2 linked regions of the Mus musculus genome follow. The protein of the gene in region 2 purifies or fractionates together with the protein of the main gene of each other region. This does not show direct contact. Links are inferred from orthologs where the notes say so. Each region holds a gene or a part of one and is shown on either strand. Other genes may lie near its edges.

Region 1 (3,520 bases), on a different chromosome or scaffold from region 2:
GCCACATGGAGGCTGACATACTCTTCTGGTTTCTAAAGGAACCAGGAATGCACACTGTGTACTTGTACATATGCAGGCAAAACACTCATACATATTAAATTAAATTAACTGTTCACATAGAAACTGAAGGAGAAAACCATCTCATTTGGCTTCTAAGGTGAACTTTGTGATTAATAGGGTTGTTAAAACTTGCTACACTGCCTCCTAGGGACTTCTAACAATAACTGTTCTCTAGACATTTGGCCAAGGGCTAAGCAGTAACAAAGCAGACCTGAGATTCAATTCCTTAAAAAAAAAAAAAAAATCTGTTTGTAAGGTTAGCCTTAGACTGAAATCTGAGAACTGACAGGTTCCCACATCTATATAAAACCTTCCTGAAATGATAACACTGGTTCAGTTTATCTAAACTGATAACACAAACATCCTGATTTTTACTGAATTTATACTTACTCTTCCTAGGAATCCAGAATTTGAATGACTATATAGCCACTTTCATTAACTCTTGATAACATATCACATGTTTTCAATCTTCCTGCTGAAGAAATTAAATGTCCCAAGGCTGGAGAGATGTCTCAGCAGTTAAGAGCACTTGTTATTTTTGCAGAGGACCCGAGGTCATTTCCTAGCACCCACATGGTGGCTCACTAACTCCATTTCCATGGGATCCAACACTTTCTTCTGTCCTCCACCAGTACCAAGAACACATATATTACATAGACATATAAGCAAGCAAAATACTCATACACATAAAATGAGATAAACTAATCTAAGAAAAAGAACGTAATGTCCCAGGTGAATCCCCTGGAAAAGGACCTTTGGAAATCTGTGCTTAATCTCCCCCTTACATCTTCCAATTTCAACCCATATGTCTTTTCGCTGTATGTTCAGGCTTATAAGGTCACCTAGCACGTCAAGGAACCTAGACTCTACTCTGTCTTGGGAATCTCCAACACAACTAAGTAACAATATACAGGTTTTCCTATCACTTAAACTCATACTGTCCATCCAGTATGGAAAGCCACCAAAACCCACTGTTAACAAACAGAATTACTGGATTACTTACGAAAATAGATCAAACCACTGCTGTTTTGTTACAGATTCCTGGCGTAAAAGCTTCAAAACAATTGGATGCATGAAGTCCCACTTGTCTTCAAACTGGAGAGAACCTTTATTCTTAAAAACAAAAGAGATAAAATATGGCTTGTTTTAAATCAATTAAATACAAAAGTTTCACATACTTTTATCTAAAAATATCTCTTAAAAGATGCCTGAGACTGGGCGTGGTGGCGCATGCCTTTAATCCCAGCATTTGGGAGGCAGAGGCAGGCGGATTTCTGAGTTCGAGGCCAGACAAAGTGAGTTCCAGGACAGCCAGGGTTATAGAGAAACCCTGTCTCGAAAACCAAAAAAAAAAAGAGCCCAGAAAAATAGAGAGATCAAATTTAAAACAAATACCTTTCCAAAACAAGAGTTCTTATAGGGTTAATCTTATAGCAGGGAATCAAAGATAACTATAAACACAAATCAGGGCTGATTTATAGGTCAGAATTATAGGCTGTGCGTGAGTCCCAGGGGTCAATCCTAGGAGAAGGGGGAAGAAACAGACAGCAATACTAAGATTAAAGTGGAATGCACAGGGAAGAATTTGTTATAAAGAGTGTGGCCTTCCCTCTTGGTTCCTTCCGGCAGATAATCCATGGTCAATGGGAATGTGTACCTAAAATGAACCTTAGCTAACAAATGTAGTTTTGGTAGGGGACTGGCAGGGTCAACATGGTCTCAAAAGTGGGGCTGGCCAATTTAAAAGATTAACAATGTAATTTAAAGAAGGGCTTTGTGTCAATGTAGAGTTCAAAGTACTCATGGACATAAACATTCTCGTCTTTGTGAAGAAATTCCACACAAATTGGACAGGAAGAAAGTTAGATTAGCTTCCTTAGGCATAATTTGTGTATATTGTCATACACTGACCACGGGAAGGATAACAGAAACTACACTCGGGACCTCCTAGACTCCGTCCTATACTTCTCTCTCTTAAGCTGATCTTGAACTGAATGTTGCAGCTACATAACAAATAACAGTAATTATGCCAGCTTGCAGTAAAGCCTGAGTCTTTCTGGTGTTGAAAATGAATGGGTATCTTACAGAGAGACTTAATCCTCTAATTCTGAAGCTGTACTCAACTCTTCCCACTGTAAAGCTGTCAGCTGCAGAGAGAGCGCAGCATTTAACAGCACTTACTACTCTTGCAAAGAACTGGGTCTAGACGCTAGCATTGGTGGTAACTCAACTCTCTGCAACTCCACTTCTAAGGGATCTGACTCCTTCTTCAGACTTCAGGGACCCCCATCATGCACATATTACACATACATGCATGTAAAATATTTATGTCCATGGATGATGTGTTTTTAAAAATGGGAGGGAGGGAGGCTGGGTGTGGTGGCTGAACTTGGAAACAGAAACAGATAAATGTCTGTGAGTTCAAGGCCAGCCTGATCCACATAGTGAGTTCTAGGACAAGCTATAGCTACAAAGACCCAGTTCAAAGAAACAAAATAAAACATTATAAACCCACAAAAGCCCACCAGGCAGTGGTGCCACTCACCTTTAATCCTGCTGTTTTGTTTTGTTTTGACCAAGACAGGGTTTCTCTGTATATCTCTGACTGTCCTGAACTCATTCTGTAGACCAGGATGGCCTCAAACTCAGAGAGTCATTTACCTCCCAAGTGCTGGGTTTAAAGGTATAGGCCATCACCACCCAGCTTACTTCTAATTCTTAATATATCATGTTATATAAATAATTACCAAGTGACAAGGAAAATATCTGTATACATTTAAAAGTCTAAATTTTTTTAAGTACTTAAAAAAAGTACTTTGACCCACAGTTGGTTGAAATCAATGCCAAAAGAAAAGATTTCATCTTACAATGCTAATAAAATCTTGACATCAAATTTGAGAGCAGCATAAGACACAAAGGAAACATATACAAAGATTTAAATGAGCACTATCAAATAAGTATATGAAAACACTAGTTCATCCTAACCATTTTGTCCTATGAATAGTATCTTATTAGGAGGAAAAAACAAATTAATTAGTCAGGTACTAGACAGAAAGAGGGAACAACCTCATTTGCACCAGTCAAGAGCTTAGCTCCTATTCAGGCTAAATGTATTTATACAACTTGTTCTGGCCAATAAATTTCATTCATTTCTTTTCTTTTTTGACTCCTCCCCCTCCCATTCATTTTCTAGTAAAGTAGCACTATTTTATGAAACTCATGATTTGTTTCTATATAGCTTACTTTTTACAGTTCTACCTATTTACTTTACATCTTCCTATGCAGGTGCATTTGGAGGTCAGAGAACAATTCCTGAATGTAGGCTCTCTTCTACCGTGAGAGTTGCAGAGAACTGAGCTCAAGTTCTCAGGCCTGGCAGCAAGAGCTTTAGTAGCTGGTCTGACCTGCCAGACCACACAAGTGTTTTTAAGGATACTGCTTAGTCTAATTATTTATTATA
Region 2 (4,226 bases):
TGGAAACAGCTACAGTGTACTCATATACATAAAATAAATCTTCAAAAAAAAAAAAAAGTAGGCAGGAGAGTTCATGTTAGAGAGAAGGCCTGAGAAAGATCACAGGCCAATGTCTCTGAAGACCAAGAAAGGGGCCAAGAACCCCAGAGTGCAGGAAGGTTCTGAAAGCTGAAAAAGATAAGAAGACATTTTCCCTGTGCTCCATGTAGAAATGTTCTACTGATGCCAAACTGCGTAGAGGATAAACTCTTGCTGCTTTAAGCCAGCTTGTAGTCATTTTTCGTAACAGCAAATGAGAAATCAACACAAAAGCAATGGGAGATATTTTACGGACACAAATCAAATTCCTCTGAAATTAAGAAAGGAATTTTTTTTATCTAGAATTCAAAATACACACATATCAAAAATTTTGAGTCATGGCCTGATTAAGCAAGGTAAGGCAAAGAAAAACGGTCTTCAAAAATTCCTAAAGAAAGGCAAATCTCCCATTTAGAAAATCAGTTGGCATGATGTTTTCACCATAACAACATCAGATACCAGAAAGACTGTGAACAAGTTACCAGGTATTGAGGGGAAAGAGCAGGACAGTCTAAGAACACTGTGTGCAGCCAAAGACAGACAACATAGTCTCAGCACAAGCAACTCAGAAGGTTTTAAACTCAGGAGTAGCTATAGTTAAGAGTTAGCCAACACTGAACTCATTTTTTTTTTTCTGAGACAGGGTTTCTCTGTGTAGCCCTGGCTGTCCTGGAACTCAATCTGTAGACCAGACTGGCCTTGAACTCAGAGATCCGCCTGCCTCTGCCTCCCGAGTGCTGGGATTAAAGGCGTGCTGCCACCAATGCCTGGCTCTGAATTCATTTAAATACTGCATGAATACTGAGCACCGGTATTAGATCTACAAAATGAAACTGAGCGTTCCAAACCTCTGAAGTATGGAAATTGCAAAGTGGGCTACAAAACCCGGACATGGAAGAAGAGAGTGGAGCATGAAACCGAGAGTGGAGCATGAAGCCGGGAAGACCGCATCTTCCACTGCCAGAGCACTGAGAGAGACACTCAGAGACTGAGAGAATGTCTTTATAACAAAATAATGACCCAAGCTTCATAACGTTTACCTCACCCCTACTTGTTTATTTTCCTGCTTTTTTTTTTATCTCCCCTCCCTAATTTACTCCCTCCCATTTTGTTTTGTTTTTTTTTCCCCAGACAGGGTCTCATACTGTAGCACAGACTGGCCTCAAACTCATGGCAATTCCCCACCCCCACCCCCCTGCTTCTTGAATGCTGGGATTACAGGTGTGAGCTGCCATACCTGGCTTGCTCTTCCCATGCTCTTTTCTTAGCCCTAAGAGAAATATGTAGTAAATCAAAAAGCCACAATGGCCACAACTACGGCATCAATTCTCCTCAATCTCTTAGACCATGTTGACAACAGAAAACAGACAAAAGCAACAGAAGTGCAGTGGGCCTTGCTCAAGCCAACCAGCAGCAAGTCTGCTCACATGTCATCCACATCTTTCTCTCTGCCCACATCAGTCATTTACTGTGGGACTCACGTCCCCTTTGGGGGCTTGTTAAACGTTTTACTCTTTTGCCTCTGCTGAAGCCTGGGTGTTTCATTGAGCACCAGGACCTGAAGACAGCCCTGTCTTCAGTCACGCCCTTGTTCTCGCAGTAATGCTGTCCAACAGAGCTTTGTCCTAAAGGAAAGGTCTAAATCTGTGCGGTCCAACCTGGTAGTTAAATGGCATTGGACCACACAGTTTTAGGGCCTTGCCTTGTGGCATTGCCAGGGGGCTGGAGATGCAGGAAGCAGTCTGCAAGCCCAAAGAACAGAGGGTGGCAGGCCTCAGGGCAGGGTCTGTATTAGAAAGGTGTGTTGAAACCCCCACAACAACACAATAGGCATTCACTGAAGTCTGTGCACAGCCACAGTCAAAGGGATGGATCACTACGTGACTATTCTTGGATGTTCTGCTCAGGATTCTGCCACTCTGTCTCCTTCCTCTGGGGTGCAAGATCTTAAACTTCAGGCTTCTAGGACACTCACTGCTCACTGCCCTGGAGCCTGAGACGCTCTGGTCTCACCCGTGTCCAGTCTCCTGGACTCCAGTCTCTTAGTTGGGTTCCTTCCTACACCCTAGCCAATTCTACAGGGTCACTTAGATTCCTCTTCCTCCTCTTGGAAGTCCTGTCCACTAGGACACAGAGCTTAGTGCTTGGAATCAAAGGCTGGAGTCTAGTCTTGCTACTCTCTGCTTGCAGTTCCACGCACCAAAAGGTCATAGCCTCAGAGACTGTGGTCTCAGACCTCAGCTCCGTGGACCGCTGTCTCTCTGCCCACGCCTCCTGTAATCCCACACACTTCTCCGAACACGTAGCTAGCACCTGCGATGTCCCTCGACGACCACCCTGAGCTGCTTTGCGGACTCCGTCCACAGAGCGCAGTCTTCCCCAGCATGCGGTTCCTAGCCCTGCCCAGCCGCTCCCGGGACCCACGCTGGAGAGGCCGCTCGCACCGACACCCCAGCGCTGCGCCTCCGGGTGCTGCAGCCGCGCTCACCCGCCGGGTGGCCGTAAGGAGACTCGGCTGCTCCGTCCTGCAAGCTGGCCAGGATCTCTCCCTTGCCCACGTCGCTGTCGCCCACCAACAGGAACTTAAGTAGAAAATCGTAGGCCCGCACCGGGCTGCCCAGGGAGCTCATCATGCCGGCCCAGCCACCCCGCCCATACCGGCCCAAGGCTGCGCGCAGGCGGCGGAGGGTCCCCGAGCGCCGCGGGCCCCTCGAACGCTCCACCGGTCGGGGGAGCTTGACAGCTGAAGAGCCCCGCCCACCTTACCTTGCCATTGGCGAGCCTCAGTTGCTGAGGTATATACACATGCTCATTGGTTAGCAAGCTCGCCCATCTATTTCTTTACGCCTCCGCACCACGCCCACCGCCTCTCCTGGGAGGACTTGTTGCCTAAGCCAATGGAGGTCCGAAGGCCGAGCCAGAAGAAACCGAAGGGGGGGGGAGAGGTTTGCTCCTGCAAACCAATGGAAGAATGGCATAGAGAGGAGGGGCGTGGTCAGTGTTTACTCCCTCCCCTGTATCAGTGCGTAACAGGAGTTGGCTCCAGATTGGTGTGGGAAGTGTTGAATCCCTGCCTGGAAACGAGAATTTGTCCCACAGCTCCACAGAGCTTTGAATGCTAGCGTGAGAGCTTAGCATGTTCATGTGTTCATGTAGGCATCAGATGTAACTAAAGTTACAGGTAGTTGTGAGTTTCAGCACCAAGTGGACACATGGACAAGTGCACCTCTAAAGGTGTCTGCTAGTGGGTGCCTCGAGGTCTCCACGGGTTTCTGTCCATGCATGTCAGTGTGAGTGTGTGTGTGTGTGTGTGCATCGTGTGCCTGTGAGGTTGTTGTCAGAGAGCACATGACGGGGACCTGTCTGTCTCTGATCTCTTTTACCCCAAGGGAGCAGTGAATCTGCTCTCTGTTCAGGAGCACCTCACCAGTGGGAACTAAGTTATTTAGAGTAATCATAGTTTAGCATCCCCGCTACCTACATCTTTATACAACCTGAAGTGGAAGCACCTCTTGCAATCGTGCCTCCTCTCTGTTAAGAAGGATACATTTCCGGATGGAAAAGAAAAAGCAGTGGATGAAAATTACGAAAGCATTTGTGAACATTGTTCTAAGCGCCACAGCTGTGCTGTGATTCAGGACAAGGCCGGTTTGGCTCAGAACAGGCTGGTCTTGGAGCAAGGTGACCGCTGCCTCCCTGCAGGAACACTATCCTTTCAAAGAGTTGACTATAATAAGCTCTAATTACAAGATATGGCTGCCAGTCTAGAATAGGTAATTGAGATAGGGTTTTTCGAGACAGGGTTTCCCTGAGTAGCCCTTTCTGTCCTGAAACTGGCTTTGTAGATCAGGCTGGTCTTGAGATCTGCCTGCCTCTGCCTCCTGAGTGTGGTATTAAAGACATCGGCCACCACTACCCAGCTAGAATGGATGGTCTCGCTGAGCCATTTTTGACTCAGAATACTATCTTTGACTCAAGATTACACTGTTGCTAACCAAGAATACCTGAGCTGTAATTATTTCAGAGGACCATGACATGGCAACAATCGCCCACACAGAAAAACCTTCCTTAGAGAGAGCGCTTTAGAATGTCTGAGTCCAGACAGCCTTTCCCTATTGATTTGCCAACTAAAGCTGCACTAGAGTGTA

What was found.
Region 1: the proteins of Rab40b (region 2) and Cul5 purify together in Homo sapiens (affinity purification with mass spectrometry; 5 studies listed by BioGRID and IntAct, counting the BioPlex papers as one, with this or other methods). This does not show direct contact. The link is inferred for Mus musculus from reciprocal best matches to the Homo sapiens genes RAB40B and CUL5.

The regions. Positions count from the first base shown.
Region 1 is NC_000075.6:53,657,508-53,661,027, forward strand, and holds part of Cul5 (cullin-5), read right to left. Parts: intron 1,174-3,520; coding exon 1,064-1,173; intron 679-1,063; exon of another isoform or gene 451-678; intron 1-450. UniProt on the Homo sapiens protein: Core component of multiple cullin-5-RING E3 ubiquitin-protein ligase complexes (ECS complexes, also named CRL5 complexes), which mediate the ubiquitination and subsequent proteasomal degradation of target proteins.
Region 2 is NC_000077.6:121,385,432-121,389,657, forward strand, and holds the start of Rab40b (ras-related protein Rab-40B), read right to left. Parts: upstream 2,821-4,226; 5' UTR 2,712-2,820; coding exon 2,567-2,711; intron 1,774-2,566; exon of another isoform or gene 1,714-1,773; intron 1-1,713. UniProt on the Homo sapiens protein: RAB40B small GTPase acts as substrate-recognition components of the ECS(RAB40B) E3 ubiquitin ligase complex which mediates the ubiquitination of target proteins.